Saccharomyces cerevisiae S288C: one gene and its partner. The protein of the gene in region 1 purifies or fractionates together with the protein of each later gene. This does not show direct contact. Each region holds a gene or a part of one and is shown on either strand. Other genes may lie near its edges. The genes, in order: ECM22 and YLR419W.

The links.
Region 2: the proteins of ECM22 (region 1) and YLR419W purify together in Saccharomyces cerevisiae (affinity purification with mass spectrometry, with the first as the bait; one large-scale study listed by BioGRID). This does not show direct contact.

What each region holds. Positions count from the first base shown.
Region 1 is NC_001144.5:599,210-604,143, forward strand, and holds ECM22 (Ecm22p), read right to left. Parts: upstream 3,255-4,934; coding exon 810-3,254; downstream 1-809.
Region 2 is NC_001144.5:956,681-963,545, reverse strand, and holds YLR419W (RNA helicase), read right to left. Parts: upstream 5,119-6,865; coding exon 811-5,118; downstream 1-810. Other genes in the region: CDC73 (Cdc73p), read left to right, coding at 5,451-6,632; ESCRT-II subunit protein VPS36, read right to left, coding at 6,836-6,865. UniProt on the Saccharomyces cerevisiae protein: Probable ATP-binding RNA helicase.

The DNA of each region.
Region 1 (4,934 bases):
TAAGAGAAAAATATAAAACTGCTGAGATACGGACAAAAATCACCTATGTACAAGTATTTATTTTATCATATACGGCGTAAGAAGATGACGTCAAAAATTGAGGAACAGTCATCGAATTTAATGGAAGCTGAAATGCAATGATCGATAATGTAATAGGATAATGAGTAACAACAATTAAATTGAAGAAGAAAAAATAGTGATGCTCTGTAGAGATGTCATTTCCCTTCAATGTTGCTATATTCTCCTGGCACATTAACGTATGCCCACTATTAGTGCCTTTAACAATAGAATCCCAACAATTATTCAATTATTCACCCATAAAATCCACCTATTTTTCAAGAAAGCATTAGATTTGCTCATTATTATTTATTATTAACATAAAAGTGCCTTTGGTAGTTACTATGTATTTAGTGTGGTGACCCGTATTCCTCATATATATAAGTAGCTACCACATTATGTTCAATCAATATATCTTTAACTCAGCTCAGCATTGTCTGAATTGCTCGCTTAAGTTTTTATCCTGTGATTAGTGCATTTACACATAAACGTATACCGGGTGTACCTCAATATACTATGTAAACATTTAAATTGTTACCATAACAACTCATGTTATTATTAATGATCACTTGACAACATATAAAAACGAAAGAAGAAATAATAATACTACTATGTATAAGTATCCATTTCCTTTTGTGGATTCCTCAAAATGGCCAGTATATTCGGAAGTAACATAATGTAGTTATTCATCGATGAGGTTCACATTCTGTAGCACTGACCCATCGAAAGAAAAGAGTTTATATTTTGATAAATTACATAAAAGCTGAAAAGTTTGTAGTGGTCATAGAAGGTAACCCACCTCCTAAGAAATCCAGCATCATATGCATACCACCACCTCCACTATACTCATCAACATCCTGTGGTAAAACCTGTGATACGCTATCCAAGAACCACACTTTGTCCTTTATTTCTGTGGTATAACCTCTCAATAATGTATAGTAAGACCTCATTATTCTCATGGCCCCTAGGTCGCCTGTCATTAATAATGCTAAAAAAGTCCTATCCAAAAGAGCAGGAAATGAGAAGACTCTCAACATAAAATCTAATTGATTTTTTTCGCGATGCAGTTTGTCCAAATATGCTAAAGTTATCAAGTACGGTGAATCAATTTCTACGGGATATAAATCTGCTATACTTTCGTCAAAGCATACGAGTTCCGATATCGTATTATTGTTATTTCCATCACCATTATTGCTATTGTCATTATCATTATTATGATTACTTTGGTTGATTACAGCTTCACCCAAATCACTCAAGTCAACAGAAATTAAGTTATAAAACTTGGATGTCTCCGACAGGGGCCATACAGCAGTTAGTATAGTTACGGCGCCTTTAACATGGAAAATCCATGCCGTTGGTGAGCTGCTTGAAGCATTTGCCAATGAATCTAGGATTAATATTAGAGCACTAGCCACCAAAGCATCTGTGTTATCATCTGAAATTTCGAGCACAGCCTCTCTTAACAGTCTCAACGCTTCTAAACGATGACTAGACACGTAGTTATCCAAGCCGGCTTCAGTTCTGGACAAATGAGTGGCGCTAAAAGCCAAAATTGTATGCATCAAGAAGGGAAAATGAAAAGCCAAATCCGGAATATAAGTGCTCCATACTTCAGGACCAGAAATGCCTGCTTCGGTTATGGTATGCCATACGTCAGTACAATAGTGATGAAAAAGTTTTAGATCTATCAAATTCAAATTTGATTTTCTAGACAGCCCGACTAATTCAGGGACTAGTCGTGAGGCTGATGAAGCGTTTGAATGGGGAGAAGATTGTTGTTGAGTGTGAGAATTTGATGAACGTGGAGACAATGCCTCCGAGTTGGATAACAGGTCACCCATTGGGGACGTCTTCAAAGTAGGAGAATTTCCCAAAGCGGTCCTGTTGTCCGGTATAGATAACAATGACTTTGTAGAGGTTACATTGGATACTCCCGTTGAAGGGGACGCAATGTTTTGATCTATGGAAGGTTTGGACAACGTGTGTGGGGGACTGATTGTGAGACCGGTATTGTCGATTATCAAGTTTTTGTTATGAGATAGTATATCAGAAGCAGTAACTTTATTTTCGTTTCCGTTAAGGGGGTTATTGCCCGAATTAACAGCATCCGTCTTAGTATTATCCAATGGGTTCTTCGTAAATTGCTTGTTTTTGTCCTCCTGTTCCTGTTGCATATTTGCGAGTGCCTCCTCTGCTGTGCTAACTTTGATTGCTCTGTTATTAGATGTAGCAAACTTTCCGAGGCCAAATAACTCTTGAAACTCAGAGGCCATTCCATTTGCAGCACCGTATGGAAATAATGTATTGAAGCTCTTCATATTGAAGTTCAAGCCCATCTTGTTCAATTGCGCTAGCTGGTCGAAGGGAATATTGCTGAAGGGGGACTGTGTTCCTTGTTGTTGTGGAATTTGCTGATTTTGTTGTTGAAGTTGTGGCTGCTGCAATCCATTCGTCACCGAATTTAGCCTACCAGGCGAGAGTAAGCCGTTAAGGCTACTTGATAAATTCATGGCCGTTGATTGAAAACTAGGTGTTATCGGTATACTCAATGGCGAATTCCCTGGTAGGGCCATGTTTGGGTGGTTGTTGTTTATCATTGAACTGGGAGCTGTTTGTGTTATATTATTATGCGCTTCAGCTCCATTTGCACTGCTGTTGGTACTGTTACTGGTGTTATTCACTAAACTCGCTAATAGGTGCGGTAACAAAAGATTCTCCATATTATTGGATACGGATGGAGGAACGCTATTAGGGGAATTGCTTTGTTCATCAGTACCAACATGTGGCAACAGTTGCTGCTGTAACTGAACTTGCTGTTGTTGACGAAATTGCTGTTCTTGTTGATGATGAAGTTGCTGTTGTTGTTGTTGTAACATGATGGCATTGTCACTCAGATTTTTCTTGCCTACCCTATCGTGGACCGCTGATGCAAATTTTGACGACGAAGAATCTTTTCTTCTTCTTGGCTGAATAGGGCTGTAAACACAGTCCAATTTCATGTTTGTACATTTCTTGCAAAATGGTTTGCCTTCATCACATTTTACTCTTCTTCTTTTACAATTGTCGCAACCGGTCTTGGACTTGTTATGAAACTTCCGTTTCCCTGTCGAAGTCTTGCTCACTTTCTTGCCCCCAACCTCAATCAGTTCAGCATCCTTCTCTCTTTCTTGTCCAGCATTCCCATCATCGGATGTCATGTTATGTTAGATGGAGATCTATGGATAAACGAAATATAAACCTTAAATGAAAAAAACCGTCGACTTAACTCCTCTATATTATGTAAAGGCGAAATGTTATTTGTGCCTTTGAAAAGTGGAGGTCTTGGTTGCTTCTCCTTCGACGATAATCGATTTCGGTGACTAGTTAGTAGATGATGTAATCGTAGACGCAGGGAACCCTTGCTTTTCCCCAATCGTAACAAAAAAAAACAAGGGGAAATAAACTATTAGATAGTACGAGTTCGTTAAGTTAAAAAAAAGGCTATAAAAGTCGAAGAACGAATGATTACGACCAACATCTATTGTTCAAACTTGCCTTCGTTGAGTTTATCGAACGCGCTCGTTTAAATTTTTCCGACAAGAACGAGGAACGAGTCACCAATTACGTTTTCGGCTCTGTCGGTTGCAGGATCTGTAAAAGCGATATAGATACACACGTCAGCATGAAGCTCTTATGATTTGGCGAGTAGTGTTAGTACGTTAAATGCTACGACTCGGCATATACTGTGCTCGTTTTTATCAGTTTCATCCGAGGATTGTAGCCTTTTTTTTTCATTTGTTGATGTTTCTCTAGTATTTTCCGTCTTGTAGTGGTTTCGGGTATGTTGAACATAAACATTAAAAAAGACGATTAAATAAACTTGAGTTTGTACAAAGGAAAGCTGTAGTCATAGAGTATTTAGAAAAAAAAGCAGCCACAGTTTACATGAAGATGTGACCAATGAGGAGGCATCGGTTTGCCTTTGAATCTCAATCGCTTGAAAATTGAGTTCTTTTCGAATGATGACACCTCCGAGAAATGGCATTTCTATGCTAGCGCCACTCTACCCTTTCAAACGTCCGTACTCATATGAAGTTTCATCCTTCACGCAGCGATCTAAAAAGTTGTAAAAAAAAATACATTTAGGCCTAGCTATATATGCTACTATGTATCATTCAGTGAAATGGCTGAGGTTATATAAAATACTGGGAGGTCGTTTTTACGCTAAAGCAGACCTTGCGGATCTTTTCCTGTAGAATATATTTGTAGCATAAGTCCAATTTTACGGGCGCATTTTCAAAATCAAGGTGATATTGACATATTTTGAAGAGCACCCAATGGGCTAGCTGCAAGAACAAAGAGACCAGAAAGCCTAGAATTAAATGCCAGAAAAATGGAAATTTATTCTAGACAAAAATTGTTCGGCACCTCTACAGACGTTTAACGAACCTGGTCCGGCCTTTGAGGCGATCAAAAAAAGGCCCATTTTTGTGTTCCGCGTAATTGGTTTGCGCCTTTCCATGGAGCTTGGTGGGCGACATTCTCAAACTGGTTTCCTGATACATCATGCACGCCCGTAAAGGGTTTAAGTATTGATTGCTAGCCTGAATGTTTCATATGCATACCGTGTCTATGCAACGAATATATTTCAGAAAAAAGCACGAAAGCCAAATTTTTGATGTTAAGAGGTGTTTTTGCCCGTAAACGGAGAAGACGTGGTAGGACTCGCAAATGTCGCGTTTAGCGTTGAAGAACATGGAAGTATTGAACGTTTGGGGCTTGACGGCTCGACTTTTTTGCACTACTCCGCCTTGAACAGACGGATGATCCTGGCGCAAGAAACAAAGAGAATCAACTCTGAGCAAAGCGAAAAAATGAAATACAACGATAATAAAAGG
Region 2 (6,865 bases), 360 kb from region 1:
GACATGAGTGAATTGTGGGATAATTGTTGAGATTCTATTTTTTTGTAAAGCTATAATATTAGGCATACAAAACATATTAGAAGTTCTCAACGAGGACATGGGAATTCGCAGGAAGAAATCGATATTTCTATGTTATAATATTAGTGTTTCTTCTTTCATTTCAAACGATACCATTCATTTTGTAATTGCATAATTAATCCCTGCATTTCAGCTCCCATTAAATTGGCTAATCCCTAGTGTTGTTCTATTAGTCTCATGATTTATGTCTTTTCTTAACGGTGTATAGTAATTTTCTAGCAACGAAAATGATGTTGGTAAACAATTGTACTAGTATTTGATAAATTTTTCAGAGGCTTACCAACATTAATGAGATATAAACAGATGTATATTGCAGAATAAAAAAGATGTAGCAATATGCATGCGTAAAGATTAATCAAGTTAAACTGGATGGTGTTCGTATCCTGTATTTCCTTGTTGTTGTATTATCGACGGAGGGTTGGCCGAGTGGTCTAAGGCGGCAGACTTAAGATCTGTTGGACGGTTGTCCGCGCGAGTTCGAACCTCGCATCCTTCAGTATTTTTTTTTTATTTTGACGGCGCCACAAAATTTTTAAAATATGGCAAAGACAATGTGCTATGTAGTTTACGGGATTCTAGCCCTGATTCAGCAAAGAGAAAAACACGCAGTCGCAATAATCTCTTAGATTTTTGTTAGTGTTTTATACTTTGACACTTCTATATGTTAAAAAAATTCCTTTTCGAAAATGAAGATGATAATTATTATACAGGGACTACAGTAGGAACTGATTACTATTGTTCGGAAGCTATAATTTTTTCAACAATTTTTAGAGTTTTATCAGCACCAGAATTATCAATTTGAGATTTTTTAGCATAATCGGGACTTTCTAACTTTTTCCTTATGGCCTCATCAAGTTGTGTTCTCAGTTCCTTGATTAAAACACCATTCTTACACCAGGTTCTAATTGGGAGCCAGTTGTCGACAACGATGCCCGGTGAATGAATAGTACCTCCAATGTCATAAGAGATTGCCCCTCCGAATAATAGTAATGATAATGTAGTAGTTGGGGTTAAGTCCCTCAAATACAACTTATTAGTAACTTGAGACGTGGTAAACAAAACAAATGGGTATTTTACAACGGTTGGTATTTTGGATTGACGGGATATTGGACCATCCACCTCAGAGAGTAACTTAGCGTCTTCCAAGTTTACTGAATTGGTTGAAAATAAGACTGAACTTGGATGAATGAATGCCCTAGTAGCAGGTAACGGTAAATCTTCCAAATCAACCTTTTGCGTCTCTTGCGAAATTTTCGTCTTATATTCTTCTAATTTGTCCTGATACTCTTCGCTTCGAATCCAGTATTTGATCATTTTGGCTTCAGGATCTTTTTCAACAGCACCGGAACTTGTTGATAGATACTTTACATCTGGTAGTTGCACCCTGGCTATGTGTGGATAAAACGCACCCGTGAGAATGGCCCTTAGGATATCAAAATTTCGCTCGTTCCTATTCAAATCAGAAATGCTTCCAACTTTATAGTCCATTGGTAGAAAGCCTACATCTTTCAAAATAGAATAATATTGGGCTGTTGATGACTTAATTTCATTAATTTTATTATAGGAAAGTAAATTGTCTCTCAAATATTTCCTTTTGATGCTCGAATCTTTGATTTTGAAGTAATCTCTGACAATTTCCAATACTGCAAATAAATCCCCACGACTTTCATATTTACATAGCAGTTTTTTTATCTTTTCCCTATTTTCAAAACCTCCGATGAAAGGCAAAACTCCAATACCGAGTATCGAGACAAGTAAAACAGAAATGTCCGTACAGCCAAACAGAATGCCGTATATTAGTAATTTACCATGCTTACTATCCATGACAGGCATCAGGCTAATAAATTGACCTAGCTGTGTGAGTGACTTGTCGGACTCATCAACAAGTCCTATCGTTGTTAATATTCTTTCTGCCTTTTGCAGAGCTGGTAAAGGAGGGGCATCCAAAGCTGTGCTCAAAAACGCTTTAACGTCCTTTATACCCATAGCCTTAACAGATAAATAAAGGGATTCCAACGGGATTCTTTTGATTTCTGGAATTGGCATTGATATCATGTCGTTTTCGTATAAATTTTTAGAAAATAATTTGTAAGATAAACCTTCACGTACTCTACCAGCACGACCTCTACGTTGTTTAACTTCAGCTTTTGAAATAAACGACTCAATTAGTTTTGTAGTATTATCCTTTGGATTATAGAACATCGATTTGGCACGGCCTGTGTCAATAGTTGCAACACAGTCATCTATAGTAATAGATGTTTCAGCAATATTTGTGGATACAACAACTTTCCTTTTCCCATGATATTTTTTGAACACCCTTTTTTGGTCTTCAGGAGTTAGAGCGGAGTGCAAGGGTAGAACCATAAAATCTGCTTCATTTGATTTATTAGCTAGCAAATTGCAGCACTTATTAATCTCTCCCACACCAGGCAAAAAAACGATAATAGATCCGTTGTCATTAGCAGCTTTCAGGCGTTTATGTACATATTCAACCACTTGACAAAGCAAATCATAATTGATTTGCCCAGATGTAAAAAACTTAGAATCTGCTCTCGGCTTCAAATATTGGTCGTCATTATTTCTTTCATCAACGCTATCATCATCATAAGACAAAGCCTTCTCTCTCTTGATCTTGAAGTCAAGGTCACTAAGAATGTCTTCCAAGAAGTAATCAGTGATGGGGAAAGTGCGTCCTTCTATGTGACATGTTGCTAGCCCCGGAAAGAATTTTTTGAACAAGTCAACGTTAACAGTAGCACTCATTAAAACAATTTTCATGCCGCGAACTCTATGTAAGAGATTTTTCATCAATGTCACTATCAAGTCAGTATCAATAGAACGTTCATGAACTTCATCAATAACAACAATTGTGTTTTCTAACATAGTTCTAGCATTCTGTAACAACCTAACAAGAACACCTGTGGTCATGAACTTGATACGTGTGGAAGCTTTGGTTTTATTGACACCTCTTATTACGTAACCTACCTCTTCCCCACAAGTTACACAGCGTTCATCAGAAACACGTTCAGCAAGCCCAATAGCCGAGATTCTTCTGGGTTGCGTACATACGATTTTAGTCTTACCGAAATCTCCTTTTTCCTTCTGTAAGAAATCTAGTATAAACTGAACGACCTGAGTGGATTTACCCGAACCTGTTTCACCAGTAATCAATACAACTTCGTTTTTATTGATGATATCTATAATAACCTTTTGCTTCTTCCAGGCAGGCAGTTGTTCTCTAACTAACTGCATACTTTTGTATTCAGAACTTTTGATCCTTTTTGTGTACTCTTCCCTTAGGACAGAGAGCGTGTCTTCAGAAATGGTGGTTTTTGTGAATTTTCTCGAACTAGAATTATTTATACTTCTCTTACCGTTTGAAATGTTTCTTTTGTTTATTGCACCTTTCGAATCTGAATCTGGAATTAATGGGCCAGGGTTGTCAATTATCTTAGATATATTCTCTTTCAACCATTCATAAATATGATATACTAACATATCGCCTATTAGATTTCCTTCCTGGAGATAATGCAGTAACCTGGTTAATATTTGTTTCTTAATATAATCAGGTAGCTTGTAATTTTTATCAAAGGTTGAAACTACAATACCAGGTAATGATGCAGGATAATTTTTGGTTCTATATACTTTCAATTTTATTTTGAGTTTTTCAATTAAATTGAGCGTGTAGTGTGAATCTTCCTTGGCGTCCATCACGCAGCCCTCATAAATGCTCTCTAGGCTCTCTAGCTCTTGGTTCCAACATTCTATAGATTCAGTTTCTGATACAGGTTCATTCGTATTGCTATTTAAAGTTGGTAAAATTTCCCTCGTCAAGAACCCGGCCGCTTCATTTTCATTCATATCGTTTTGTTGTAAAGCCAATAAGGCTTCATCTGAAGAGACACCAATTTCTGTTAAACGCTCAACGATCATTCTAGTTGATAACGGTAGGTTTGTTATTTCAACCTTGTTTTTTGTATCACCTTTCTTTTTATGAAAAAATGGTGGTAAATCATCTTCCGGTAAGTTAAACAATAAGAAAGACAATGGATCTTTATAAAGCATGGCTTCCTCTACGTGTTTTGGTCTAAATTGTAGAGTTAATAATTTTGCCTTGAGATCTTCCCGATTTTCAGCAATTGTCTCATTTTTATGGCTAATTTTTTTAGCTTGCCAATCAATTTTCTCTTTCAATGAAGTTTCTATCAGTTGTCTAGACGATTCATCAAGGTCAACAAATATAGAATTTTCCCAAACCTTTTTTGGAAACCGCACTAATGAAGGATTATGTGAGTTTTTATGAGATGCTACTTTTCTCTCTTGCCTGTCCTTTCCAGAAGAAGAAATTCCACCATGGCTAGATAAAATGGTTCGTGCAACTTGTTCTTTCTGTGCTTGATTATTCTGGGCCACTTGTTCTTTTTCACGTTGGGCTTTGAGCTTTCTGTCTTCCACCATTGTCTTGAAGGGATCAAGATCAAATAGTTTGTTTATACGCTTTTCGTCTGTTTTCAGGTTATCTTTTCGAAAATCGTCGAGGGCATACCATGTTTTTCTATGGTTTGGCGGAAGCATCATGTGCAGGTTGGTGTTGTATGCAATGCGATATAGCGCAATAGTGGAGGCCATGTGTCTAGCTTCAATTGGAGTTTCTTGAGGAATTACAAGGCCTTTTCCTGAAGCTTTGTCATAGGTTGGATCGTTCATTCTTGCAGTCAATGTTTCTTTTGTCTTTGGGTCAGTGAATGACAAAACTGCAATTGCAATGAAACCTTTATCACCGATTTTCTTCATATCATACTCTACCTTATTCCATTTTCGTTTCTGACATGTTTCGTGTAAGATTGTATGAGGCAATTTACCTGTCCAGCTTGCTGTGGATGTCACTTTTGCTCTATTACTTTGTTGCTTGGCCCTTTTGTCATCTTCTGGCTCTGGTTCTTGTCCCTTTTTTCCTTTTGCTTTCTTTTTGCCAGCAGTTGTTGGTACATCATTCACTGGAGTTGAACTTTTTGAGTTATTTTTCGTTTTTTTGGCCATTTATCAAAAATTAATGAAAGCAATTGCGATGTAAAGTATAAAGTGAATGATTATTGTTAATACTTCCCTTAGCTAAGAGTCTCTTTTACAACTTTGAATAGTATGTATCTTTTTAGTGTATAATTTTTCAACTCATCGAACACCGAGACGGTTAACCGGCAACGCAATATTGTTCTCAAAGCATAAGGATGAAAATTTCGATTGGACAGGTTTAAAACAAGTACTTCAACGAATATTCCACCCTTTTTCAAATTGCGTTTCCAAAACAGGCTGTTTCTTAATTCGGGGCGTTAAAAGAATAATAATTTGAGCAAGAAACTGGTGAAAAAATTATGGCGAACTCATTAGACAGACTGAGAGAACACTTAAAGAACGGCGATAAACTGGTTCTAAAAAATAATGAGGGACAGTCTACTGATGATATTACGAAAGCAACCATGGTAGAAACTCTATCCAGTGATGGTAGTACCCAAGATAGTTTTCCATTGAATGAAGAAACGGAAATTGAGATTGATGGTTCATTGGTACAGTTACGAATAATTGTTCATTGTTGGATGAATAAGGACTCAAGTGCCGCAGACTATCTAGCAGACTGTCAGAATAAACAATTGACTAATGTTTCATTTTTACAAAGAACTGATTTAATAAATTGGTTGTCTGGCAATACGGAATCATCCCAATATCTGAAAGCACCCGGTCAGAAAGGCGAGACATCCGATAAAGTAGATATAGAAAATAAAACTTTGGCTGGTGAATTGTCGACTGTAAAATCAACCACTTCAGCATCTCTTGAAAATGATAGTGAAGTTTCCGATCCAGTTGTGGTGGAAACAATGAAACATGAACGTATATTGGTGGACCACAACTCTGCATTGCGTGGTGCTAAGCCGATCAACTTTGGTTATCTAATAAAAGATGCAGAACTAAAATTAGTACAGTCGATCAAAGGATCTTTACGAGGATCTAAATTGCCTCCCGGTCATAAGGGCGCGCACGGTCGTATTTCCAAAACAAATGGTTCATCAGGTGGCCCTCGCAAAGATCCAATTATTTTGATTCCTTCGGCTGCGTCATCAATTTTAACTGTTGCAAATATAAAACAGTTCCTGCTGGAGTCAAAATACGTGAATCCTCGTAACTTACCGTCAGTGCCAAACGGATTAGTTAACATAGAGAAAAACTTCGAACGTATATCAAGACCAATTAGATTTATTATAGTCGATAACACTAGGATGTTTACTAAGCCAGAATATTGGGACAGAGTTGTCGCTATCTTCACTACTGGTCATACGTGGCAGTTTAATAACTATCAGTGGAATTCGCCACAGGAATTATTTCAACGCTGCAAAGGCTACTATTTCCACTTTGCCGGTGATTCTGTACCACAACACGTGCAGCAATGGAATGTAGAAAAGGTCGAACTTGACAAAAATAAAAGATTTAAGGATGTGGAAGTCGTGCGTTATTTCTGGCATAGTTTAGAAAAGGAACTTATTTCAAGAGGATACCGTTGAATACGATAAACGGAAGAATGGTATTTCGGCCATTGAAAGTGTTTCTTCAGTCGGCGTTTCTATTCCGATTTTGTACTCTATGTTATGTGTTATTATTGGCATTTCAAGTAACGAAGTGAAGTTTAGCCGCGCGTTTATATGTAAACTATTTATTTGGGAGAATGTAGTATTACGAGCAGGTAATCAAACCATGCATTTATTACTTATATATGCGAGGGCCAATAAGAGTTTTT